Macaca fascicularis: one gene and its partners. The protein of the gene in region 1 purifies or fractionates together with the protein of each later gene. This does not show direct contact. Links are inferred from orthologs where the notes say so. Each region holds a gene or a part of one and is shown in the gene's direction. Other genes may lie near its edges. The genes, in order: SMC3, REC8, USP13, NIPBL, WAPL, PDS5B and PDS5A.

Region 1 (4,264 bases):
GGCTGAGGTGAGAGGATGGCTTGAACACAGGAGTTCGAGGCTGCGGTGAACCATGACCGAGCCACTACGCTCCACCCTGGGTGACAGAGCGGTGACAGAGCGAGATCCTGTCAGAAAAAAAAAAATAGAAGAAAAGAAAATGGTTAAATATTTATTTATTTATTTTGAGACAGAGTCTCCCTCTGTTGCCCAGGCAGGAGTGCAGTGGTGCAATCTTGGTTCACCGCAACCTCTGCCTCCTGGATTCAAGCAATTCTCCTGCCCCAGCCTCCTGAGTAGCTGAGATTACAGGCTCCCGCCACGACGCCTGGCTAATTTTTATATTTTGAGTAGAGACGGGGGTTTCGCCGTGTTGGCCAGGCTGGTCTTGAACTCCTGACCTCAGATGATCCTCCCCCCTCGGCCTCCCAAAGTGCTGGGATTACACGAGTGAGCCACTCAACCTGGCCTATTTATTTATTTATTTTAAAGCAAGGGCTGGATAGGATTTTATCCGGGCTCCACATAAAGGACTCCTAGGGAGATACCCTGGTTAACAGAGGCAGTTAGGAGGCTATTAAAAATAGTTCAATCTAGAAATAATCAAGGCCGGAATTGCCTCCAGCAGCGGGCCGGAGGGCTGGGGATGATCTGGGTATTTTGTTCTCTTCCCAGCAAGTAATTTCAGAGCTCAGAGATCCATTTTTTAAACAAATGATGTTTTTCTCCCAAGACTGATAGGGATCAGAGAGACCTAGGGTTGCCACTAGCACCTAAGCCAGGATGTTTTTTTTTGTTTTTAAAGTAGATTAAAACCTTTCAGCCTTACCTAAATCTTTGTTGCAATTATACAGATCTGCCTAGATTTATAGCAGATGGCAGAGTAGAAACAGTTACGGAGGGAATTAATTAACATATTAAAACAAATTTTCGAGCATTGACAAATCCCTTCGGGGTTGTCCTGCGAGTGGGCAGTTCGGAACCAGCTTGGGGCGTGCTAAGATTGTAAACGTTCCTAGGGAGAGCTATAACAAAGGGGCAGCAGGGACTCTGTGCACAGAATTCCAACAGTCACCAGCATTCCATGTGTTCCAGAACTGGCACAGCGCGCGCGGTCCCCTTTTTTAAACAGTGCGGAATCACGTGGCCGACGGCCCGCAGCGCTACTGGCCCTCGGAGTCTCCCACCCGGCTTTGGCGCGGAACCTTACCCCCTCGTGGACGCGACCATTGGCCCTGCGCTCGGAGGGGGTACGGACCAACCTTACGGTCATGGCTTCTCCGAGTGAAGCTTTTGACTAAGTCTCAGGAAACCGTTAGCTACAGAATTCTATATTCAAATGAAATCCATCAAACAACGCTGTGGAAGACTGGTTTTGCCTAAAAGAAAGAGCAGACCTGAACTTGACTCCTCCTACGCCCTGTGAGGGCTGCAAGGTGGTTCCTTCCAAGGCGCGGACTCCGCCTCCACGAGCGCCGCCATTTTGTTTGGCTGGAGGGGAGCGAGCGGCGCTTTGGGGGAGGGGTCGCGTAGGCGCCTCACCTGACCGTGCAGCCGGGCGGTCGCTGCTCCGGGGCAAGTCTCCTTCCAGGCCAGGGGCCCGGAATCATGTACATAAAGCAGGTAAGGCCTTCGCGTCCTTCCACCCCGTCATAGGCCGGTAGGGACTGCTCCTTGAGGCGGGAGTGTTGCGGCGCCACCCGCAGCCTTTCCCTCTCTCCACAGGCTGGACCAGGGCTGGGCGGGGACTGTGGGGGAGGAGGGGACCCCAGGCCCCGCGAGTGTCCCGGCTGCGGGGTCGCGGAGAATTGGGGTGCCCCTCTGCAGCCTGGGCCTCCCCGCTGGCGCTGGTCTAGGAGAGGCAGGATCTCCGAGAGGTGTGGAAGGGCGGGCGGGCGGGCGGGCCGCTGGGTGGAACTGGGCCTTCCCGGGCGGCCCGAGAGCTGGCGGGGGCACCGCGCCGGGGCGGCCGCGGGCGTAAGGGCTCTGTGGTCCTGCACGGGTGGCCTCGCACGGGTCATGTGCGTGGGATGTGTGGAAACGTGGCCTCCCCGGCTCGGGGGCGGCCTTGGGGGCACAGGCTGGGGGTGTCAGGTGTCACTGCGGGGGGCCGTTCCTCTCCCGGATTAACCCGCGAAGTGAGCGGGACCCTCCTGCTTGCAGGATGCGGAGCGCCGCCTCCCCCGGTTGTTTACTTCTGTCAAAAGGGTCTTCCCGCGCGGGAGTCCACCACAAAGATGAGCCCAGGCACACGGCCTTGGAGACGGTTTTCTGTTGGATCTGTCGGGCTCTGAGCACTCCTTTGGAACGTGGGCTCTTTCTGGCTGGCGCTGGCCGGTGTGAGTGACTGAAAGCAGCGCTCGGTGGTCTTGGAGTCAGGAGAGCTGGGGCCGGTCGGCCTGCTGGATAGACTTGCTATTGTACTGCAGTGTCTAGTGTTCCAGTTAGGCTCACACAGGGTTCTTGATTTTGAAAGATCCTTAACAGGTTGACAACTATAACGCCTAAAAAAAATAAAACCCAGCAGCATTGCACTGGCAAAGATTACCGATGAATGGACTTTTTTTTTTTTTCTTTTAAAGCAGATTTTTAATCACCACTTTCCAAAATGAATTTTTCTTATATGAAATTGCAGGTTTTCTATATTGCATTAAATGAGAAACAAGAAAGAAATTCAAGAGAAAAATGTTAATGTATTGTTTTTGGGGGGGGGGTGAGTTCTCAAAAGTGTTTTTTATTTACTAGGTGATTATCCAGGGTTTTCGAAGTTACAGAGATCAAACAATTGTAGATCCCTTCAGTTCAAAACATAATGTGATTGGTAAGTGTTCTTGGTTTACTCGGTCATATTTATAGTCTATACAGATAACGTAAATTCTGTCGATTTGTATATTGGCTTAAGGAGACAGGAATTGTCTTTGAATGTTAAGTAAAGTTATGTATATTTTTCTGCTTGAAATAACTTTTCTGTCTTATTGCGCTGATGAATTGCTTATTTCTATGAACTTAAAATGTTTGGATAAGACACTCATAAGTTACCCATTTTTTTTTTTGAGACGGAGTCTCGCTCTGTCACCCAGGCTGGAGTGCAGTGGCCGGATCTCAGCTCACTGCAAGCTCCGCCTCCCGGGTTCACGCCATTCTCCTGCCTCAGCCTCCCGAGTAGCTGGGACTACAGGCGCCCGCCACCTCGCCCGGCTAAGTTTTTGTATTTTTAGTAGAGACGGGGTTTCACTGTGTTACCCAGGATGGTCTCGATCTCCTGACCTCGTGATCCGCCCGTCTTGGCCTCCCAAAGTGCTGGGATTACAGGCTTGAGCCACCGCGCCCGGCCAAGTTACCCATTTTTTACCTGGGTAGCCTTGTGTGTATGTGTAAGAGAGTTTTAAAGCATTTGCGCCCTTCTGTTCTTGTTATATATCTTAAAATGCTGACTGTTGCCTTATTTCAGAGACAAGACAGTTTTTATTCACAAAGTAGATCCCAGAATTCCTGCCCTCCCCCCAACCCTCTAGTTCAGTGTCTCTAAGGACAGACCATGTAGCTAGATTGGAAGAGCATAAATTTTAGAGCATAACAGAATGGGGTTCCAATCCCAGTTGTAGGGGGTTGGGGGGCTGGGGGAGGGATGGCATTAGGAGAAATACCTAATGTAAATGTCGAGTTGATGGGTGCAGCACACCAACATGGCACATGTGTACACCTATGTAACCTGCATGTTGTGCACATGTACCCTAGTATCATAATTTAAAAAAAAAAATCCCAGTCACGCGTTCTTTTTGAGACTTTGAGAAGCTTCAGTTTTCTCATTTGTAAACCTGTCTCATAGGGCTGTTGGGAAGATTAAATGAGAACCCTTATGTAAGTGTGAGAATAAAGGGCTAATGGTGATTGCCATTAACAATATGTAGTCATTATAGATGGCTCAGGTTGTAGTGTGCATTTTGCTGATACAGCTAACAAAGATGTTTTCTGACATTCTGCTGAGTATTTTACAGGATAGATGAAAGGAGTGCTTCTGGACACCAGAAAAACAGACTGCTATTGACGCAGTTTTGCTGTACAGAGTCCAGACTAAGCGGTATATTAGTTTGCTAAGGCAGCCATAACAAAATACCGTAGACTGGTAGCTTAAACAAGATATTTTTTTTTCTCACAGTCTGGAGGTCAGACATCCATCATCAGGATACCTGCATGGTTAGGTTCTGGTGAGGTGCTCTTCCTGGCTTACAGACAGCTGCTCTCTTGCTGTGTGCTCACATGGCCCCATCCTAATGTCCTCATT
Region 2 (3,975 bases), on another chromosome or scaffold:
TCAGGAGTTCGAGACCAGCCTGACCAATATGGTGAAACCCCTGTCTCTACTAAAAAATACAAAATCTGGCCGGGGGTGGTGGTGGGTGCCTGTAATCCCAGCTACTCGGGAGGCTGAGGCAGGAGAATCCCTTGCACTGGGGAGGCGGAGGTTGCAGTGAGCTGAGACTGCGCCATTGCACTCCAGCCTGGGTGACAGAGTGAAACTCCATCTCAAAAAGAAAAGAAACAGCCTGACCAACATAGTGAAACCCCGTTTCTTCTAAAAATACAAAAATTAACTGGGTGTGGTGGAGGGTGCCTGTAATCCCAGCTACTCGGGAGGCTGAGACATGAGAATCGCTTGAACCTGAGGGGATGGGGGGCAGAGGATGCAGTGTGCCGAGATTGCAGAGATAGCGCCACTGCACTCCAGCCTAGGCAACAGTGAGAGACTCCATCTCAAAACAAAACAAAACAAAACAAAACAAAAACGATTGACTTCTTCCTCATTGACCTGTGGGGGCTCCAAGACTATCATCTCACATCTTTTTTTTTTTTTTTTTTGAGATGGAGTCTTGCTCTCTTGTCCAGGCTGGAGTGCAGTGGCACAATCTCGGCTCACTGCAACCTCCGCCTCCCAGGTTCAAGCATTCTCCTGCCTCAGCCTCCTGAGTAGCTGGGATTACAGGCTTGTGCCACCACGAGCAGCTAATTTTGTATTTTTAGTAGAGATGGGGTTTCACCATGTTGATCAGGCTGGTCTCGAACTCCTGACCTCATGATCTGCCCTCCTGAGCCTCCCAAAGTGCTAGGATTACAGGCGTGAGCCACCGCTCCAGGCCTCATCTCACATCTTTCTACCTCTGCAGCACACGACACGCCCTAGTTGGAAACAAAGTAGGAGTTTGTGGACTGGGGGGAGGGCGGGGTCTAACCTCAGGTCAGGCGCGTTGCAAGGTACATCTTGGCACCCGGAAGAGACCCAGCACAGTTGCCCCCGACGTGACCCGACCTCCCCTACCAATTGAGGCGCCCTTGTTGCCAGGCTAGAGGCGAGCGGCGGGGATGCGCTCATTGGTCAAGGAAGGAGCGCCTGTTACTAGAGGCGAGAACCAGAGCCCATTGGTCAGAACACCTCACAATGGACCCCAGCGGCACGCAGAGTCCTTATGATTGGTTTGCTGGCTGCCTCGGGAGACCCTGTTGCCTCGAGCCTAGGCTACTTGGCGCTCCCGACCCGACCCCTGTTCCCCATTGGCTGTCCTGGCAAAAGCCGCCATCTAATGAGGAGCGAGGTGCGGGGCTCCGGAGCGCGCGCTTCCCGCGGTGCCATCTAGTCCTGCGGGAGACATCCCGGGCCCACACCGCGGCCGCCCAAGCCAGTGAAAGTCCCAGGGGCCTGATATCGCTCCCAGCGCTCGAGGACCGAGGCCTGCTGTGGAGGACACCGTGCTCCCTCGGGACCTGTTTTGGATTCCGGCCCGGGCGTCCCCTTGGAGCTCTGCATCTCCAACCTGGAACCCAACCCAGAAGGCTCAAGTTCGACGCATCACGTGGCGAGCGGATCCACTGAGGGTCCACAGAGAGGGGCGCCCATCTCCTGCATCTCAGTTATCCCGGTAATCGTGTATACACCAATTGTTCATTGCCTCATTAACTTGGTTTTCTGGGTGCACCCACCTTGCCACCAGAGAAGTCCAAATCCTGACTTCTCTCCAAGGTGTTGGGAATTCTGTGCCCTAAAGAATTCCGACTCAGATCCAAACGGCGATCTGGTGGAATTGAGGGTGAAAGGCCAGAGGGACGATGTTCTACTATCCCAACGTGCTTCAGCGCCACACCGGCTGCTTTGCCACCATCTGGTAAGGGTGGGGCCCGTGGGCGTGCGATGGGGGATGCTGGCCGGGATCCCAGCCTGACAGCTCCCCCTCCGTCCCCATTTTCCCACCTTCCCCACCCACTTCAGGCTGGCAGCGACGCGCGGCAGCCGGTTGGTGAAGCGCGAATACCTGAGGGTGAATGTGGTGAAGACCTGGTAAGGCCCAGAAAAGGGAAGGAGGGCCTGGGGCGGGGGGGTGAGTTAGGGGATGGGGTGGGCAACGCTGTGGGCCCAGTCCTGGGCGCAGCGGTAATCAGGGCCCATTGTTCCCCAGCGAGGAAATCCTCAATTACGTGCTGGTACGAGTGCAACCCCCGCAGCCCGGCCTGCCGCGGCCCCGCTTCTCCCTCTATCTCTCAGCCCAACTTCAGATCGGTGTGATCCGCGTCTATTCTCAACAATGCCAGTACCTCGTGGGTAAGGCTGGGAACCCTCAGAGGTGGGGCGGGCTGAGCAGCTGTCTGCTAAGCTGGCTGTCTACCTCGCCCTCCCTGCCCACAGAGGACATCCAGCACATCTTGGAGCGCCTCCACCGTGCCCAGCTGCAGATCCGAATAGATATGGAGACTGAGCTGTGAGTGTTCCCTGGGCCTTTGATGGAACACCTGCTAATTTGGCCTCAGCCTAGCTCAGCCTCAGTCCCTGACGGCCTACATTCTCTCCCAGACCCAGCCTACTGCTTCCTAACCACCTGGCCATGATGGAAACCCTAGAAGATGCTCCAGATCCCTTTTTTGGGATGATGTCTGTGGATCCCAGACTTCCTAGTCCTTTCGATATCCCTCAGGTATTATTCCCCCAGACTCGTATTCCCCCAGACTCGTGAATTGACAATGCAGAAGGGGAGTGCTGTCCCTGTGTCACTCTGATATTGGGGTTGGGGGGGGAAGCTTGCCACAGCTCTCTCCCACGGGAGGTGGTAACAAGGGGACTGCCAAGGTGGATCCATCCAGGCGAAGCCCCCTGTACTTATCTACTCGGGGCCAATCTGATCAGATGGTTTCCCCACTGGAGGCAGCTCTTGTCCCCACTTGTCTCCACACTGTTTTCACTGCCGAGGCCCTAATCCAGGCTCTCATCTCTCTGTACTGGGCTTTCTTACCCCTGTCCTCCTCCATCTATTCCCAATACTCCAACAGCTTAATGTCACCTCCTTCCTTAGTTCCCCATTTGAACAGTGGCTCCTGCTGCAAACAGATTACTAGCATTTGGGGCTCTCCATGCCCCAGTTTATTTTTTTATTTTATTACTATTATTATTATTATTTTTGAGACAGGATCTTGCTCTGTGGCCTAGGCTGGAGTGCAGTGGCACGATCTCAGCTTACTGCAACCTCTGCCTCCCTGGTTCAAGTGATTTTCCTGCCTCAGCCTCCCAAGTAGCTGGGACTACAGGCATTCGCCAGCATGCCCAAATGATTTTGTAATTTTAGTAGAGACAGGGTTTCACCATGCTGGCCAGGCTGGTTTCGAACGCCTGACCTCATGATCCACCTGCCTCATCCTCCCAAAGTGCTGGGATTACAGACATGAGCCACAGCGCCTGGCCCATTTTTTTTTAGTTTTAGTAGACATGGGGTTTCGCCATATTGGCCAGGCTGGTCTCGAACTCCTGACCTCAGGTGATCCACCCACCTTGGCTTTCCAAAGTGCTAGGATTACAGGTGTGAGCCACTGCGCCTGGCCTATTATTACTATTTTTTAAGATGGAGTCTCTGTCACCCAGGCTGGAGTGCAGTGGTGTGATCTTGGCTCACTTCAACCTCCACTTCCTCTGGTCAAGCGATTCTCCTGCCTCAGCCTCCCAAGTAGCTGGGATTATAAGTGCCTGCCACCATGCCCGGCTAATTTTTGTATCTTTAGTAGAGACGGGGTTTCACCATGTTGGTCAGGCTGGTCTTGAACTCCTGACCTCAGGCGATCCACCCGCCTTGGCTTCCCAAAGTGCTGTGATTACAGGCGTGAACCACCATGCCCGGCACATACCCTGGTTTAGAACTAGTCATCCCCAGACTTCTCTCTCAGTCCTCTGGGCATCTGTGGCTCCTAAACACTAGTTTGGCCCTTATGCCTCAATGATACCACATTCATGTCTTTGCTTGTGCTGTTTCCCTAG
Region 3 (4,131 bases), on another chromosome or scaffold:
ATTTTTAAGTTTCGTAAAACCAAGTCTATCTCTGTAATTGGAGAAAACATCATCCATGAACCTGAAAGGTAATAAGCTGATGAGACTAAATTCAAAGCAAAAGCTCGCTGAGAGTATCTGCCCCAATGATGAAGATGACAATAGTGTCTGATTTTTTGCTCAGTGCCACCCCCTCCGTTTCCAACAGATAGCATTTGGGAGTGATGAGTTATAAGAAAGTGTGGTGCGCTCCAAGCTTGCTTGAGGGTATGGAAATCTCGAGACAGGTCTGGAGAACCAGGGAGAGTTAACAGATAAATAATGTAAGAAAAAAAAAAAAAAAAAAAGAACTTAAGGACTGTCTGATCTGGGAGAAGTTTACAAAAATTAGCGTTTTGGTTCACTATTTCTCGCTCTTTCGGCGTTTCATTAACTGGATACCCTGCTATGAATATATATATTGGGTGTAGTTAAGAGAACCTCTATGTCACTAAAACCGTCTTATGAGTTTTTTGGAGAAAATGAGAGGACGCTGGGAGACATGCTCTGCTTGCAAATGATCAACCCCCCAGCCCAATCCCATTCATCATTGATTTTGAGGAACTGATGAGTAAGACAGGAATATGTATGTTTGCCTACAAAATCCTCAAATCAGGCCACTGAATGTTCGACATGGGAACTTTGAATCACATAGAAGATACTCCAAAGGCCGAGAAAAATAGAAAGCCTCCCGACGCCCTGAAAAAATCTTGACCATCTCTGACTTCCTCCAATAAGAAAACCTATATTATTATTATACACACGCACACACACCCTCTATCCTCACTCGATCTTGTTCTATTCTATTTTTGAGCTTTGGATGTTAAAGTAAGGAACGAAGCTTAGTGGGGAAACACCGAAGTGCATGGCGCAAATTTAGATTTAAGCCTCACGTTAGATTCCAGATTTGCACATCGAGTCCTGCCCCTACCCAATCCGGGGACGTCACCGCTCTAGTCTTTGGCTGTTTTAAAAGCAAGCGGTTTTTAAAACCCCCAATCCTCCTCTTTGTGTTTGCCTCCTCGGAGTTGCCCCTCTGCAAGCCAAGAGTTCGGGATAGAAAAACACCTACGTGGTGTTTTCCCGGGGCTCTCCCGCGCCGCAGTCGGCCGCCAGCCCGCTCGGGCTCCCGCGCCGACGCCTCAGGGGCTCGCCCTCCGACCCCGCCGCCGAGCCCGGCCCGCTCGCAGGGCCCCTCTCCAGCTCCCCCTCCCCGGCGCGCTGCGGCTGGCGCTCCCCAGCCCCGCCTGACGCTGCAGCTGGGCCGGAGACTCGCCATTGGATTAAAAATAGCAGCGTCGCCCGCCCGCCCCGAGCCCCCGGTGCCCGCTCCCGCCCTGCGGCCCGCTCTCCCCGCCCGCCCCGGCTCGCCCGGCTGCGGTCGCCCGCGCAGCCCGCGCGTCCGCCCGCTCGCTGGCGCCACCGCCGCCGGCGGACAGCGCGCTCCGGCTCCGGCTCGGCTCGCTCGGCTCCTGTGCGTGCCGAGGCCATGCAGCGCCGGGGCGCCCTGTTCGGCATGCCGGGCGGCAGCGGAGGCCGGAAGATGGCTGCAGGAGACATCGGCGAGCTGCTGGTGCCCCACATGCCCACGATCCGCGTGCCCAGGTCCGGCGACAGGGTCTACAAGAACGAGTGCGCCTTCTCCTACGACTCCCCCGTAAGTGAGGCGCCTCGGGGGAGGGTCGCGGGGCCGGCGGCCTGCGGCACGTGAAGCCGGGGTAGAAGATGCGCAGTGGCGGCCGGGGACCTCTTCTCTTTCTCTGGGCGGCAGAATTGGCTCAGGAGCACTGCAGTTCGGCAGACAGTGAGCGCCCCAGGGCTGCTGCAGCCGAGGACTGGTGGCTTTGCTCCTCCAGCCTCCCCAGGCTGGAAGGGCCCAATTCCCAGCAGCTTGCACACAGCCCCGCCGCCGTTTAAAGATAGATGAGGTCCAAGAGTTCCCTGTTCCGAACTGCACGTTGCAGATCGTTTGCGTCCTCCCCGGGGCAGAGCGCAGGGCGGGTAGGTGGACGGGATGATTCCCCCACACCCCCGGACACACAGCCCTTCCTTTTCTGGGACCACTTGCTTTGCTCAGGGATCCCCACTCCTGGACAATTCTGATTTGCTCTCTGAGCTTTTCTTCCACCACTTCCCATTTCACCCTACTCCTTTTCTTGCCTTTAGAATGTCAGGGCCGGGCGCGGTGGCTCACGTCTGTAATACCAGCACTTTAAGAGGCGGAGGCGGGCGGATCGCCTGAGGTCAGGAGTTCGAGACCAGCCTGGCTAATATGGCGAAACCCCGTCTTTACTTAAAAACCCCCCAAAATTAGCCGGGTGTGGTGGCGGGCGCCTGTAGTCCCAGCTACTCGGGAGGCTGAGGCTTGAGAATCGCTTGAACCGGGAAGGAGGAGGCTGTAGTGAGCCGAGATCGCGCCACTGTCCTCCAGCCTGGGCGACAAAGCGAGACTCCGTCTCAAAAAAAAAAAAAAAAAAAAAAAAAAAGAAAAAGGAAAAGAAAAAAAAGGCAGACGAAACCTTCCGGTGCCTCCAATCGGGCAGCAGAAATAGGGGATCTACTGGATTGTGATGGTTTTCTTAAGCCTTTCCCCCTTACCCTTCTAAATGAGTCACTTGGACTGACATGCTCAAGTATAAATTATTAAAAGTTCAATCCCGAGTCGTGACCTCGGAGAATGGAGGAGGAAGCTGAGAGGGATCGCCGCCTTCTACCGGGGCGGTTGGTGGTGGTTTTCACCTGGTTCTATGTGAAAGTGTGAGAAGCAGCAGGAGGGTGAATGTCCCTTTCAAAAGTCAAAATAGGCTTCTAAGTGACTCAGCTGTCTGGCGTTTATCATGTCTTTTTGAGGACCAAGTTATTTTTATCCACCCACTTTAGATCTCATATGTCACCCGGCAGATCTCAATGCATTGGAAGGCGCATGGATTGGATGGACCGAGGCAGGTCTTGCAATTGTCCAATACCTTTGATTCATAGTATGTGGAGTATTGTCAGAGGGGAAAAGAAAAGTCCAAATGAGCGGCAACATTTCCAAAGTTTCCTTTATTATCTGTGGGTTGATTTTGGCTGGCTGCAAAGCATTTTTGCTCGATACACATTGGAGTATCAGAGTTAGTATCCTCTCTGTGACATTAGTTTTTTTATTTATGGTAATTACATATCATTTGAGGGATAAAACCTAACTTATTTTTTGACTGCTTACTTTTTTTTATTTCGAAAAGATCCAGAGTGGAATGTGAGAATCGGCAGTCCTTTCTTAGTATGTTATCCATAAATTATTTGAAAATGCCATTTTCAGATTGTATGGCCAGTGTTGGGCAGTTCCTAAAGTTGGAGAGGGATGATAGTGGTAACTAACCTAAGCAATTGACAGACTGTTACCTCCACGAGGAAGAAAGTGGCTTAAGTCTTTTAGGATAGCATGACATGGAAAGTGGGGTCAAATGACTTTCCCCATGTTTGATTTGGGCTCTTCTTCAAATTCTGTTTACAAACTTTGCTCTTGGAAGTTTTTGCTGCATAATGTAGTGGATAGCAGGTGTGGAAAAAAAGGCTGATTTTTAAAATTCACTTCCACAAATAGTTATTGGGAGCTTACTGTGTGTGTTTCTAGAATGTTACTATTCTAGAAACATCTCGTCCAGTGTAGACTGATGATTTCAGTCACATCATAGCAGTTCCTTGTGGGAGACTGGGATTAATTTACAAGGCTGATGAATCAGTATATTTCATTATCTATGTTTCGGGCAGGAAGGGAAGGAAGGTTTGATAATATTTATCTTAAAGCACAGTGCTTGATAATGAGAAGTTTTTTTTTTTTTTTTTTTTTTTTTTTGAGATGGATTTTTGCTCTTGTTGCCCAGGCTGAAGTGCAATGGCATGATCTCAGCTCACTGCAACCTCCGCCTCCTGGAGTCAAGCGATTCTCCTGCCTCAGCCTCCCAAGTAGTTGGGATTACAGGCGTGTGCCACCACACCAGGCTAGTTTTGTATTTTTAGTAAAGACAGGGTTTCGCCATGTTGGTTAGGCTGGTCTCGAACTTCTTACCTCAAGTGATCCACTCACTTTGGCCTCCCAAAGTACTGGTATTACAGGCATGAGCCACTGCA
Region 4 (2,653 bases), on another chromosome or scaffold:
GGTTCATATGTATATATAATTTTATATATCAATAAGAGTAAAGACACGGGTACAAATTAAGAGTTATATGGTTTTACAAGTATATGTTAACCCCTTGGCGCTGGCGGTCACGGTGCGTCTCATTGCCGGCAATGGAAGTGTGCCGGGAAATCCCAACTCCCGGCGTCAAGGGATTAAAAGCAATAAAAACAATAATTTCACTAAAATTCTTTTGTGTAACACTTGGTCTTTTTTCCCCCCTCCCAATGTTTTAGTCATTGAGAAGGTCAAAACGAAATTCAGACTCTACGGAGTTGGCAGCACAGATGAATGAAAGTGTTGACGTCATGGATGTCATCGCTATTTGCTGTCCAAAGTACAAAGATCGACCACAAATTGCAAGAGTAGTACAGAAAACCAGCAATGGCTTCAGTGTTCAGTGGATGGCAGGCTCCTACAGTGGCTCCTGGACTGAGGCTAAGCGCCGTGATGGCCGCAAACTGGTGCCTTGGGTAGACACTATTAAAGAGTCAGACATTATTTACAAAAAAATTGCTCTAACGAGTGCTAATAAGCTGACTAATAAAGTTGTTCAGACTTTACGATCCCTGTATGCCGCCAAGGATGGGACTTCCAGCTAATGAATTTGTACATGCAGCCAAATTTACAGGAATTTTTTTAAAAGGCAGAAAAACTTGAAATACCAACATTCTGGCAAAAAAAAAAAAAAAAAAATCAGTTTTATGAAGAGTAAGTGGAACCTGGGATGCAGGAACAAAAGAAGGAAATGTTGGGCAAACATTTTTGTGGGAGCTCCCTTCGCTGTTGTGCAGCAGAAACAGATTCTCAGTTCATTTTTACTCCCACTGTATTATAGTTTAACAAAAATTGTTTATATCTTGGAAAAAAACTTTCTGTTTAAAAAAAATAAACAAGTGAATGTTGGAAATTAGTCTGTTAATGTTCTTAATAAAGTGTTCTTGGAGTTTAACCTAGCAGCGGATGGCTTTCTTTAGCTTAGCCCAGTTTCCAGGGAAGCGTTGTTTTTTCCAGGCTGTAAAATGGCAGAATCTCCTGGATATATAATTTATTCTGTTGAAAAAAAAAAAAAAAGCATGCAGTATCTATGACCTATCTGCAGAAGGAGTTTTTGTAAATGTAGATTTTGATGTATTAGGTCACCCTGAAAACAATACAAGAAAAGGGATCCCCAGGTAATCTGGTGGAGCGAATACTGCAATAAATTTTTTTACTTCTCTTTGTTACTTGTCTGTTTCCATTTGAATTTCTTATTGTAAAAATCTGTTTAAATCCATTTATATTATTTTACAGTCTTTTATGTAAAATTTATTATATCACTGGTTTTCAAAGCAAAACATAAAATATTGTTTATACAGTTTGTATAGGCTGACTTCTGAATAATTGGTATCTATCTATTATTTTCATTCCCATAAGAGGGTGTAAACAATTAACTCCAGGGTTTTATTGTATCCTGCAATATTTAGTATTAACTATATATGATTTAGCACTGTGCCAAACACATTTTCAAGAGTACATTTTGATATAAAAAGAAACTATAGTTTATTCCTTGTATGCTTCAATTTCTTTCTAGTGATGTCATGATGCTGATACTTATTCTTTAAACCTCGGGTAAAAGGTAACCTGCTATTTGGAAAACCAGCATTTCTCTTAGTTAAAATGATGTCGTGTTATTTTAGAACTAAAGTTGAGATGAGTATGCCACTTCATAATTACACTCACTACATTTTTCACAAATTATTTTTTAATGCTGAAAAGAGTAATTTTACTTGTTGAGATGTTTATTCATTTTCTATTCTAAAAGCTTTATCATAAGTTTTTTGGGAACAGTTGTCATTTACACATTGCTTACTGCAGATATCTTGACTAGATCAGGAGGGAGGTGTTTAATCATTTGATGTGTATAGTTGACACTCAGGAATAGTAATGCCTAAAATTTACAGTGGAATGAGGTCTGTTTCAAGTTTAAATCTTTTAAAAAATGTTTTACTCATTTTTAAATCACTGAAAAAATTGACCTCCAGAATGCTGTTTTATGAAATTGGCAAATAAATGAAGGTATTCAATTTTTGAGGAAGAATGACATTGCCACAAAATACTTTTTTGTGACACCTATTAAACCACTATGAAAATAACTTTTCAGGATCTATTTCCTATGTGGAATTCTTTCAAATGCTTTCTTCACAGAAATGTTCTCTCACTCTTCATTTTCTTCCCCTTACTTACATGTTTCTCTTTTCCTTATACTGTGAACTCTGGAACAAAACTAGATTGGGTTGGTTGGTTTGTTCTTCTTGGAGTTTATGTATATCAACAAAGGATTTGAGGTCACTTCTGAAAATAATATATCGAAAAGAGTAAAATACTGGTTAGAGAAAATACAAGAATAAAATCCAGCCCAGAGAGAGTACTAAGAATATAAATGTGAGTAAAAAGCCAGTTTTGAATGCTATTTACCTGACAGCGATGCGTGCTGTCATTTAATTCTCACAAAAACTCTAGTTATATATTTTATCCTCATTTTGTAGATAAGGATAGCAGGCTTAGAAGGATTTGGTAATTTAGTAATGTCGTGATAGGGATTTAAATCTGGAATTGAAGTAATTGTGTCTCACTAATTGAGCATCAGACATTA
Region 5 (3,500 bases), about 59 Mb from region 1:
TAGTGAAACCTCATCTCTTAAAAACAAACAAAAAATAGAATTTGCTTTATTATGCAGTTAACAGTGAACTTAGACATTATAGTGTGTGATTTTAAGGGCAGTGGATCCCCAATGGCCTTTACTATGGCATCCTAATTTCCAAAAATAATTTGCTATATAAACATTTAATCAGACACCTGGTCTGATGCTTCTCTATTTCTGGGGGCTCAAAGTTTAAATCTTTAGATAGTTGCATTTTCTGTATATTGAAATAAGTGTAAGTACAGAATATCTCAAGTGTTGGGATATCCCAAATGTAAGACCTTTTTTTTGTATTCACATTTATCTAGAATATTTCACCTTCAGTATTTTTAGATTGTGTTAGTAGAGTGTCCTGGCCAGGTGCGGTGGCTCACACCTATAATCCTAGCACTTTGGGAAGCTGAGATGGGCAGATTGCCTGAGCTCAGGAGTTTGAGACCAGCCTGGGCAACATGTGAAACCCCATCTCTATTAAAAATGCAAAAAGTTACCCGGGCGTAATGGTGCGTGCCTGTAATCCCAGCTACTCAGGAGGCCGAGGCACAAGAACTGCTGGAACCCAGGAGGTGGAGGTTACAGTGAGCCGAGATTGTGCCACTGCACTCCAGCCTGGGCGACAGAGCGAGACTCCCTCTCAAAAAAAAAAAAAAAAAAAAAAGTAGAGTGTGCTGACTTAACTACCTGATCTGAGTGATTTTGAGACAGTTTATTAATGATTTAAAAAATTATTTGGTTCAACCAGAGTTGATTGGTTTATTTTATTTTTTTAAGTGATCCTCCCAACTCACCCTCTCAAGTAACTGGGACTACAGGCTCCTGCCACTATGCCAGGCTAGTTTTTGTATTTTATTTTGTTTTGTTTTGTTTTATTTTATTTTTTATTTTTTTATTTTATTTTATTTATTTTGAGATAGAGTCTCACTCTTGTCACCCAGGCAGGAGTGCAGTGACACCATCTCAGCTCACTGCAGCCTCCGCCTCCTGGGTTCAAGTGATTGTGCTGCCTCAGCCTCCCGAGTAGCTGGGATGACAGACGAGCGTCACCATGCCCAGCTAATTTTTTTGTATTTTCAGTAGAGACGGGGTTTCATCATGTTGGCCAGGCTGGTCTTGAACTCCCGACCTTAGGTGATCTGCCTTCCCCAGCCTCCCAAAGTGCTGGGATTAACAGACGTGAGCCACTGCGCCCAGCCTAATTTTTGTATTTTTAATAGAGACGAGGTTTCACCATGTTACCAGGTTGATCTCGATCACCTTACCTCAGGTGATCTGCCCGCCTCAGCCTCCCAAAGTGCTGGGATTACAAGTGTGAGCCACCACGCCTAGCAATTGGTTTATTTTAAAGAAATCCAAATACGTGTATTTCAGCATCCTGGGTTTATATACGGATGCAAACACAGCTGTGTTTTCCAAGGGAAAAAATGTGTTAAGGGTTTGATATAGATTTAAAATTATTATTTAAATTATTGATTTTAAACTGAAATATGACTACTATGTCATAAAGAATAGGCTGGGCGTGGTGGGTTACGCCTGTAATCTTAGCACTTTGAGAGGCCAAAGTGGGTGTATCACTTGACCTCACGTGTTCAGAACCAGCCTCGGCAACATGGTGAAACCCCATCTACAAAAAAATAGAAAAAAATCAGCTGGGCATGGTGGCGTCTGCCGATTGTCCCAGGTACTTGGGAAGCTGAAGTGGGGAGGATTGCTTGAGTCCAGACAGACAAGGCTTCAGTGAGCTGATGTGGTGCCACTGCAGTCTAGTCTGGATGACAAAGTGAAACCTTGTCTCAAAAAGAAAAAAAATGAGGTATGTCATAATAGAATTTATATATATATATATGCACACTCACACACACATATCTGTAAAAATGTTCTATAAACTCTTCGTTTAGCACAGAATAGCCAAATAAATATTTAACTCAGCTTATATTCTTCTAGCTATCAGGCATTCATATATGGATGATCCATTGAAAGGAAAATTTTAAGCAACAGCGTTTAATTTTTTTTTTTTTTTTTTTTTTTTTTTTGAGACGGAGTCTCGCTCTGTCGCCCAGGCTGGAGTGCAGTGGCGCGATCTCGGCTCACTGCAAGCTCCGCCTCCCGGGTTCACGGCATTCTCCTGCCTCAGCCTCCCGAGTAGCTGGGACTACAGGCGCCCACAACCGCGCCCGGCTAATTTTTTGTATTTTTAGTAGAGACGGGGTTTCACCGTGGTCTCGATCTCCTGACCTTCTGATCCGCCCGCCTCGGCCTCCCAAAGTGCTGGGATTACAGGCGTGAGCCACCGCGCCCGGCCAGCGTTTAATTTTTTAAACATGTTTCTTCAGAATATTTGGTAATATGTTTTAAGTGTTCTAACTTGTAAACAAAAGTCATTAACCATCTTATTTCCTGAGATGTCAGGAGTTGCTTACATGAACTTTTTTCTCTTTTCCTTTTTTTGGCCTGTGGAAGAATCTGTCCCTGTGTACAGCTGCCCTCATGTATATACTGAGTAGAGACCGTTTGAACATGGATCTTGACAGAGCTAGCTTAGATCTAATGATTCGACTTTTGGAACTGGAACAAGATGCTTCGTCAGCCAAGCTACTGAATGAAAAAGATATGAACAAAATTAAAGAAAAAATCCGAAGGCTCTGTGAAACTGTACACAACAAGCATCTTGATCTAGAAAATATAACGGTGGGTTCCTTCTTCCTTCCTTCTAAGATGAGAATTACTTTCATAAAGTCTTTGGTTAGTTACAGCAGCTGTGTGACTGTGGGCAAATTATTTTAACTCTAACCTTGGTTTACAGTTTGGCAAATTTCTTAGGTTTAGATCTGAGCATAATTTCCTTCCTTTCCTGAACTTCCTAAACTAGTTTATCTGTATTTAGGCTTTTTGCCCAGTAAATAGTTGCATTTTCTGTGCATTTTTTCTAATCCTTTTCTCTTTATTTTTTATTTTTTAAGGAAAAAAATGGGCCGGGCACAGTGGCTCATGCCTGTAATAACCAGCATTTTGAGAGGCCGAAGCAGGTGGATTGCTTGAACCTGGGAGTTTGGGTCCAGCTTGGGTGACATGGGGAAACCCCAGCTCTACAGAAAATACAAAAAGTTAGCCAGATATGGTGGTGTGCACCTGTAGTCCCAGCTACTCAGGAGGCTTAGGTTGGGGGAATATCCTGAGCCAAGGGAGTTTTAAGGTACAGCGAGCCGAGGTTGTGCCCCTGCACCTCCAGTCTGGGTGGCAGAGTAAGATCGTCTCAAAAAGAAAGGGTAGAAACTACATTTAGGCTATTAGGAATTTGAATTCTTTTTCTCCATGGATTTCAGGAATAAAAGTTTCAGAGGATTTACGTCTGCCATTTTCTTTTTTAATTTTTATTTTATAATAATAGTAATAATTATTATTTTTTGAGACAGGGTCTTGCTCTGTTTCCCAGGCTGGAGGGCAGTGGTGCAGTCATAGCTCATTGCAGCCTCAAACCCCTA
Region 6 (4,249 bases), on another chromosome or scaffold:
ACTTTCTTGCTTCCTGGCTTTGGAGGTTTGGGAATTGAAGAAAATAAAGTAAAAAAGATAAAAACAACCAAAGAGGAAAGGTTTTTCTAGATCTAGACATCCTACTCTCTTCTTCCATACAAGATTTATGCTGATGGAACAACAATGTAAAATAAGAAAATTCCTGAGATAATTTTAAAAAGAGAGCAGAAAAAACTCATAGTGGACTTCATCAAGGAATGTGTAAAATGGGTAGAACCTGGAGTATTCAGTGGCAAAATCTTGGACATAGGAATACAGTAACACAACATACTGGTCTAGCAAGCACTGTAGGAGACTGAAGCGGAATTGTCCAGGAAATCCCACAAAAATGGAAATGAAGAGGTCTCAGTATCTCTAGGTGCAGAAAGGAGATAGCCTTCAAAACAGCTACATGGTAAGGGTGAATGAGGCAATTACCATTAGGACAGACAGAGGAAAATGCACCTAGTATCTCTAGGTGCACAGTAACATTAGTTTACAGATCAGCATTACCTATCTTTTCTTTCAGTTGATAAGTATCCTATTGTAATCCATTCATTCACCCTTTGCTTGTTCATTGTTGAAACAAATTCTCCCTGGAACAAAATTCTAGTAACCAAATACATCATATCGGGGGAAACTTCCTTACAGAAGGGATGATATTAAAGTAAAAAGAGGAGGAAGTCCCTTCTTCAGTTCTGGCAGGGGAGGAAAAGCTTCCCCAAAGGTAGGTGATCTGTTGTGACCAGGCTAAACCCACTTGAGGGACTGGCATCCCCTAAAGGTGAAGAGGGGAGGAGACCCACCTCCTGGAATGTGTCCCTGTGGTCTCCAGATGATGTCTTCCTCTAATAAGGACAATTCTGCCAAAGGAATAGAATGCTTCGTCACAGGCTCAATTACTCTGTGTCTCCGCCAGCTTACCACCTATGAACAATTCATCAAATTAGGAAAGCGGGGAGATTTAATAAAGACACAACACATAAAGTGTAGGAAAACTATTTGTATGGCATTCCGAGACGACTAGGTCAGAATTAACAAGGAGCAAAGTAGTTAATAATACCAATTATGTTAACCTAGCACAACACCTGTGCTGAATGTCAGTGTTTAAAAAAATCTCCCAATCTTTATCTAAAAAGATAGGGCTACGTAACAATCGGAATGATTTTTGTCGGTGGAGGTCTAGTAAGCTGCAAGGGTAGTGGACGCCTTGACAGCTGCCAGTCTCGCGGCCTCCGCGGCGGCGTGCCCGTGTGGCTGCGTGCGCGCGGACGGGGCGGGGCTGAGGAGGGGAGTGCGCGCGCGCGGACGGGGCGGGGCGGAGCTCGGAGGGCGGGCGCGCGCGGGGCCGTCTGGTCGGCAGGGGGCGCTGCGCACCCATGCCGCGCTCTGCCTGCCCCCGGGTGCTGTCCGCGGCGGTTCGATTGGAGCAGCCGCCGAAGAGCGCTTGGCGCCATTTTGAAGCGGAGAGGAGGAGGAACGGCCGGGCTGGCTGCGGAAGGGGAGGGGGGAGAGAAGGCGATTGGATGCGGCGGCGGCGGCGGATCCCGGAGAGCCGCGGAGTGAGAGGAGTAGCGAGTCGGAAACCCGGAGGTAGGAAACAATTCAGTTAACGGAAAGAAAATGTCTCTCTTCTCTGGCCGCGGCGCTCCATTTTTCGGTGGCCGCCACTGCAGCTGTGTGTGTGTGTGTGTGTGTGTGTGTGGCAGGGCTGAAGCGCCGCCCGCCCGGGTGCCAGGCGCGACTCGCCTCCCGGCATCGGGGGCTGCAGCGGGCGGCTGCCTGGCGGCGGCCCGGGGCGGGGGTCGCGGGGCGCGGGCCGGCTGCGCGGTGGGGGTGGGGAGGGCCCGGCGGCCGACTCGCGCCTCCACGCCGCGGGCTCTGCCGCAGCCTCTGGAAATTAAACTTGCCGCTCTGATCCCGGCCCGGGCGGCGGCGGCGGCGGGCGGTGACCTTGCGCGCGGGCTGGGGTCCCGGGGCCGCCCGGCCGCCCGCGCCCTCCCGCCGCCACCGCCGCCGCCGCGCCCCTCCCCCCGCGCCCCGGCCGGCCGGCGGCTGTTTCCCGGGCGGCAGGCGGGCGGCGCGGTGCTCCTGTTGAATCCTCCCGCGGGCGGGCTTCTCCCCCTTCCGGGCGAGGGGCGGGCGGGGACCGCGGGTCGGGGCCGCGGGCGCCCTCGCCCTCGCCCTCGTCGCCGGCTCCCCGCGCGCCGCCTGGCCTGCGCTTCGGGCCAGGGGACGGGCTGAGCATGACATTTTTGCGCTGTTCCTCGCTGCTTGCCCGAGGGAAATCGCGCTCACCGCGCCGCCCGGAGTGGGTGCTCGGGGAACCTGAGGACCCCGTTGAGCAAGAGCCCAGCGCTGGCGTGGAGGGACTCCTCCCAGGCGACAACTGGGTTCTAGCTTTCCTTTCGGAAGGAACGGCGGGGAAAATGGTGTGCAATTGTGACTCGTTAATGTTTTTGCACTGTTATTTTAATGCTACTTTAAAAGTTTTCGGTCCGGAGAAAAACCTTGTTTGTTGTTGTTGCTGCTACTGCTGTTGGTTTTTGGTAGAGACGTGAAAGCTAACTCTGAAGTAGCTCGACAGTTATTTTGGAGGAATGACTGAAACCAGAAACGCCGCCCCTCGCCTTCGGAACTGCAGGCTGCTGCGTTCCTTGCCGCGGACGGGGCGAGCTCCGGGAAGGGTTGAAAGAGCAGCTACCCACCCATTCCGCGCGCGTCTTCAACAGCCTCTCTACCCCAGCAAGGGTTAACCCTTTTTTATGTCGAAGAAAGTGCTTCTTGTACTTTTAATAAGAGGTGATGGATGGGCAGTGGTGCCCCGACTGATCCTACCCTGTCGATGAAATAGTTTCAGAAACTTTGGATATAGCTTTAATTTAGAGGGTTGGTCTGCGGTGTGGAGAGAGTTGGGTAATCCTATACCATCTTCCTAATAAACTTCAAAAACTCACGTTGTGTTTACATGCAGGAGGCGAGCTGTAAATAAATCGTCATTACCCAATACTTGAACGGCAATATAGTCGTTGTTCTCAGTTAACCCATCCAGAGTTCCCAGACAGAACGTTTTTTATATTAACTCATGTAGTGGTCAGGTAAACTAGTTAAAAGCCACAAATATGGACTTGAAAGACAGCTCGTTATGCAGTACACATGTCTGAGATGTTCGCATCTTTAGGGACAATGAAATGAGTATTCAATGGTGTATGTGGGTCAGTTCGTGGAACAGTTAATCTTGTATCTCATGGTGATAGCAGAAAACCGAATTAAAATTTGTAGTGGTGAATAGGTGAAAGTTACATGGGACCTTTTATGTTAAGATCGATTGATTGTCAGAAACTAAAAACATTTTAAGAACGTTATTCCTTAGAAATAAGATTTGTGCTTAATATACGTTTACAAGTATATGTAAAAAGATGCACTTTAGACTTTATAAAAATTATCCAAATAGTGACTTTTTCCTCCTTTTTCTGATGGTTTAAAAAATTGTCCTCTTCTCAGCTGGCGTTTACTTAAAGGTGTATTTTAAATGGGAAGGTAGTGTTTGTGTTCACCCTTTTTCTTTTTTTCTTTTCTCCTTGTTTTGGTTAAGGCTGATTTTCCCTATATTACCTTTTACAGCAGCTTTTGTTACTCTTGTCGCCTTTATTCTCTCGTGTTATGTCTCTCCCCTCTCATTTTTACCCCCGTATTAGAGACACATGTACTGATGATAGTGATTCTTGTCGTGAGATGTTTGTATTAAGCTTACTTGTAGTAAGATTCTACCGAGTTGGCTGTTTGATGAAAGTTGTTTAAATTGTTCTGCAGCTTTGTTTAACAAAGTAACATTTTGAGGAGTAGGCTTTATCAATAATTTGTTAGGCCTAAGATAAAGTAATACTTTGTGTTAGGGCTTGCCCTGGAGAAGAATGCAATGGTAGAAAATACCCAAAACTTTGTGAGAAAGGAATATTTCGGGAAGTTGTATTCTTTCTGCTTATTCCTCTTGGGAAATTTAGAGACTGCCTTAGAACTAACAGGAGTGCGCTCAGTAAGATTTGGCTTATGGACTCTTGAATGACATGGACTGTATATAACTTATATTGGAAAAGTTATTTATGTTTCCTCCGTTAGTGTTAGAGAGCAACAAGAAAACTTAAGGATGATCTCCAACTCGCTTATACATGAGAAATTCGGTTCAGATTTTAATTTCATTGATTTATCTGAGGTCACAGTCGTATTCATGTGGTGGAATTGGGGCAGC
Region 7 (3,500 bases), on another chromosome or scaffold:
TTATCAATTTTCTTTTTTTTTTTTTTTTTTTTTTTGAGACGGAGTCTCGCTCTGTCGCCCAGGCTGGAGTGCAGTGGCGCGATCTCGGCTCACTGCAAGCTCCGCCTCCCGGGTTCACGCCATTCTCCTGCCTCAGCCTCCCGAGTAGCTGGGACTACAGGCGCCCACAACCGCGCCCGGCTAATTTTTTGTATTTTTAGTAGAGACGGGGTTTCACCGTGGTCTCGATCTCCTGACCTTGTGATCCGCCCGCCTCGGCCTCCCAAAGTGCTGGGATTACAGGCGTGAGCCACCGCGCCTGGCCATCAATTTTCTTCTGATTATAAAAATACTTAATGTTCATTGCAGCAAACTGAAACTAGAAAAGATGTAACGAAATAGTCACCATTAACATTTGATATGTATACTTTCTATGAATGTTCATCTACTAGATGTGTTTGTCTATTTTTTATAAGTTCATATATGCACACTGTTTTCTTCATTCTACCTAATGTTTTTTCGTGTCATCAACATTTAATTTTTGGAGAGTGTTACATGTTTTTCCATCTCGTCCTGAAAGAAGACTGTTTTAGATTACTTTTCATTGTCAGTGTAGAGGGTAAGTGTATGGATTTTGAAAGAGGTGCTAATTTTCAAATCCCAACTCCCAGTTTCCTAACTTCGTCATCTTAGGAGGCTTAAATAACATCTTTGTGCTTTAATTTTCTCATCTGTGTAATGACTATAATAGTCGTCTTTGGGTGGATGTGAACATTAGTTGAATTAATCCATGCAGAAATACCTAGAATGGTGCCTGGCACATAATAGTTAGATATTTATATTGCCATCCTAGTGATATATATGTAGCTGTATCTTTGCATACTTTCTTTCACTAGTATTATTTCAGCTGCTTAATACAACTTGGTCTTTTGCTACTCTCTTTCCATAGCTACTTTGAAATAACTGAAGGGGATTATAAAAGGGAATTGAAAAATTAGCAATCTCCTACTTAGAAGGTAAATGTAAAAATATGTCATGGGATAAGCTTTAGATTATGAATTAAGGGTTACTTGTTATTTTGCATATTTGTCAGGTAGCTTTAAAATGAAAATTGTCTCCTCAAGTAGGCTTTTTCTTGAGGCATTGTATTTCTTGGTTTATACTTGGGGGCAGAGAGGGAGCTTTTTTACAAGTTTCTTTAGATCAGATAATTTTTAAGAGAGCCTTCTCTACCAGCATCCATCCATATAGGGGACGTGGAAGTCAACCAAAGGAATAATTGTTTGTTTATGGGTTTAAGAAAAAAAAAAACTATATTATTTTTTGCAGGACCTTAATTCCCATTTTACATCAAAAAGCAAAGAGGGGTACTCCACACCAAGCAAAACAGGCTGTGCACTGTATACACGCCATATTCACAAATAAAGAAGTCCAGCTTGCACAGATTTTTGAGGTATATCTAATATATAGGTTGTGTTTATATTGGTCTTTATTTTTTAAGCTGTATAGTTTGATGAAGATGGAAGCTAGATTTTTTAAAGCTGTTTATATGAAGTCCTACCCTAGGATATAAATTCCTTGTGAGCAAGGATTCTGTCTATTTTATATGGTACTGCATTCCCGGCCTGTGGATCAGATTATATGTTCAAACACCTCATATTGAAGGGTTTTGTGGTTTTTGTTTGTTTTTTAGTTTGTTTTTGAGATAAGGTTTCACTTTCTCACCAGTGCTGGAGTACAGTGATGCGATCTCTGCTCACTGCAGCCCCGAACTCCTAGTTTCAAGCATTCCTCCTGCTTCAGCCTCCCAAGTAGCTGAGAGTACAGGCACTGCCACCATGCCCAGCTATTTTTGGATTTTTTATAGAGATGGGGTTTTGCCATATTGCCCAGCCTGGTCTCAAACTCCTAGACTGAAGCGATCCACCCACTTCATGCTTTCAAAGTACGAGGATTACACACATGAGCCAGCACACCTGGCCTTACGTGTTTATGTTAGAACGTTTTACTTAATTTTAGCCTTATTGGTTCAGTGGTGCATTTATCCTCAGAAAGTATTAGTAGATAATTTTGAACAATCCAGTTTTAAGTACCTAAGAGCCCTACCTGACAATCCTGTTTCCCTTTCTTTACTTATAATGACTGGCCTCATTTTACTATTAGAAATGTATTCCTATTATCATAAATTGAAGGTAGTGTGACCAAAACCCAGTGAACTCTTACTTTGTATGATTTAAGGTCATTTAAAATGTTCCCACAGGATAAGAAATCCACCAATATAGCAAATCCATTGTTGTAAATTAGTCAAAAATAATGCTGATTTCATGAAGCAAAAATTTTTTTTAACTTCTTTTGAGTTTTATTTTTTATGTTTTTTCTACATTCTTTCAATCTTGCTAAATTTTAGTAGGTGAATTAAGTACCAGGTGTCTTAGGTTGAAGTTAGTTATGATCATATTAGAGAAGATTGGTTTGGGCATGATAAATTCAGGAGGACCAGGAAAATGTACTGTTTCAGTAGAGTGTCTAGATATTTATCAAACAAATTGGTAATTTTGTCTGTTTTATTTTTATAGCCACTCAGTAGGAGTCTGAATGCTGATGTGCCAGAACAACTTATAACTCCATTAGTTTCATTGGGCCACATTTCTATGTTAGCACCAGATCAGTTTGCTTCCCCAATGAAATCTGTAGTAGCAAATTTTATTGTGAAAGATCTGCTAATGAATGACAGGGTAAGTTTCTCATTTAATTAAATTGAGAATCATGAGACTAAGACTGTTTACATCTTCATCACAGAAACACTTCTGTTTCTATGTAATTCTCTTTTTCTTTTAAATTATTCTATATTGGTTCTACTTATTTATTATTTAAATTCCAAACTACTTCGTTATTTCATGGTAGCTATTACTACTAGAATTTCACACTTAAGAAACAAAAATTAGAACATGGGATTGGTGAATCATGAAAGTTAAATATAAGTAAAAGCTATTTTCCTGACCCTCAAAAGACAGTTTATCATTTTCTGGAATGTTAGAATTGGGTTATTTTTGTTTTTTGTTTTGAAGACAGAGTCTTGCTCTATACCCCAGGCTGGAATGCAGTGGCTCGCTGCAACCTTGGCCTCTTCTCATTCCTCAGCCTCCCAAGTAGCTGGGATTACAGGTGCCTGTCACCACGCCTGACTAATTTTTGTATTTTAAGTAGAGACGGGGTTTCACCATGTTGGCCAGGCTTGTATTGAACTCCTGACCTCAGGTGATCTGTCCACCTTGGCCTCCCAAAGTGCTGGGATTACAGGTATGAGCCACCATGCCTGGTTAAAATTTGTTTTATCAGACATTGTTAGAAATCTAAGTGGATTAGCCAGGCATGGTAACGGGCGCCTGTAATCCTAGCTACTCAGGAGGCTGAGGCAGGAGAATCACTTGAACCGAGGAGGGAGAGGTTGCAGTGAGCCAAGATTGCACAGTTGCACTCCAGCTTGGGCAACAAGAGGGAAACTCTATCTCCAAAAAAAA

Evidence for each region.
Region 2: the proteins of SMC3 (region 1) and REC8 purify together in Homo sapiens (affinity purification with mass spectrometry; 3 studies listed by BioGRID and IntAct, with this or other methods). This does not show direct contact. The link is inferred for Macaca fascicularis from reciprocal best matches to the Homo sapiens genes SMC3 and REC8.
Region 3: the proteins of SMC3 (region 1) and USP13 purify together in Homo sapiens (affinity purification with mass spectrometry; 4 studies listed by BioGRID and IntAct, with this or other methods). This does not show direct contact. The link is inferred for Macaca fascicularis from reciprocal best matches to the Homo sapiens genes SMC3 and USP13.
Region 4: the proteins of SMC3 (region 1) and NIPBL purify together in Homo sapiens (affinity purification with western blotting; 4 studies listed by BioGRID, with this or other methods). This does not show direct contact. The link is inferred for Macaca fascicularis from reciprocal best matches to the Homo sapiens genes SMC3 and NIPBL.
Region 5: the proteins of SMC3 (region 1) and WAPL purify together in Homo sapiens (affinity purification with mass spectrometry; 7 studies listed by BioGRID and IntAct, with this or other methods). This does not show direct contact. The link is inferred for Macaca fascicularis from reciprocal best matches to the Homo sapiens genes SMC3 and WAPL.
Region 6: the proteins of SMC3 (region 1) and PDS5B purify together in Homo sapiens (co-immunoprecipitation; 7 studies listed by BioGRID and IntAct, with this or other methods). This does not show direct contact. The link is inferred for Macaca fascicularis from reciprocal best matches to the Homo sapiens genes SMC3 and PDS5B.
Region 7: the proteins of SMC3 (region 1) and PDS5A purify together in Homo sapiens (affinity purification with western blotting; 8 studies listed by BioGRID and IntAct, with this or other methods). This does not show direct contact. The link is inferred for Macaca fascicularis from reciprocal best matches to the Homo sapiens genes SMC3 and PDS5A.

Annotation. Positions count from the first base shown.
Region 1 is NC_088383.1:119,651,594-119,655,857, forward strand, and holds the start of SMC3 (structural maintenance of chromosomes protein 3), read left to right. Parts: upstream 1-1,464; 5' UTR 1,465-1,587; coding exon 1,588-1,602; intron 1,603-2,724; coding exon 2,725-2,800; intron 2,801-4,264. UniProt on the Homo sapiens protein: Central component of cohesin, a complex required for chromosome cohesion during the cell cycle. The cohesin complex may form a large proteinaceous ring within which sister chromatids can be trapped.
Region 2 is NC_088381.1:91,987,134-91,991,108, forward strand, and holds the start of REC8 (meiotic recombination protein REC8 homolog), read left to right. Parts: upstream 1-1,175; 5' UTR 1,176-1,600; intron 1,601-1,701; 5' UTR 1,702-1,787; coding exon 1,788-1,843; intron 1,844-1,947; coding exon 1,948-2,016; intron 2,017-2,134; coding exon 2,135-2,434; intron 2,435-2,526; coding exon 2,527-2,647; intron 2,648-3,975. UniProt on the Homo sapiens protein: Required during meiosis for separation of sister chromatids and homologous chromosomes.
Region 3 is NC_088376.1:91,427,980-91,432,110, forward strand, and holds the start of USP13 (ubiquitin carboxyl-terminal hydrolase 13), read left to right. Parts: upstream 1-1,331; 5' UTR 1,332-1,507; coding exon 1,508-1,675; intron 1,676-4,131. UniProt on the Homo sapiens protein: Deubiquitinase that mediates deubiquitination of target proteins such as BECN1, MITF, SKP2 and USP10 and is involved in various processes such as autophagy, endoplasmic reticulum-associated degradation (ERAD), cell cycle progression or DNA damage response.
Region 4 is NC_088380.1:37,376,700-37,379,352, forward strand, and holds the end of NIPBL (nipped-B-like protein), read left to right. Parts: intron 1-254; coding exon 255-620; 3' UTR 621-2,153; downstream 2,154-2,653. UniProt on the Homo sapiens protein: Plays an important role in the loading of the cohesin complex on to DNA. Forms a heterodimeric complex (also known as cohesin loading complex) with MAU2/SCC4 which mediates the loading of the cohesin complex onto chromatin.
Region 5 is NC_088383.1:60,172,456-60,175,955, forward strand, and holds part of WAPL (wings apart-like protein homolog), read left to right. Parts: intron 1-2,478; coding exon 2,479-2,706; intron 2,707-3,500. UniProt on the Homo sapiens protein: Regulator of sister chromatid cohesion in mitosis which negatively regulates cohesin association with chromatin. Involved in both sister chromatid cohesion during interphase and sister-chromatid resolution during early stages of mitosis.
Region 6 is NC_088391.1:12,291,725-12,295,973, forward strand, and holds the start of PDS5B (sister chromatid cohesion protein PDS5 homolog B), read left to right. Parts: upstream 1-1,449; 5' UTR 1,450-1,593; intron 1,594-2,053; exon of another isoform or gene 2,054-2,432; intron 2,433-4,249. UniProt on the Homo sapiens protein: Regulator of sister chromatid cohesion in mitosis which may stabilize cohesin complex association with chromatin. May couple sister chromatid cohesion during mitosis to DNA replication.
Region 7 is NC_088379.1:39,170,145-39,173,644, reverse strand, and holds part of PDS5A (sister chromatid cohesion protein PDS5 homolog A), read left to right. Parts: intron 1-1,308; coding exon 1,309-1,432; intron 1,433-2,555; coding exon 2,556-2,714; intron 2,715-3,500. UniProt on the Homo sapiens protein: Probable regulator of sister chromatid cohesion in mitosis which may stabilize cohesin complex association with chromatin. May couple sister chromatid cohesion during mitosis to DNA replication.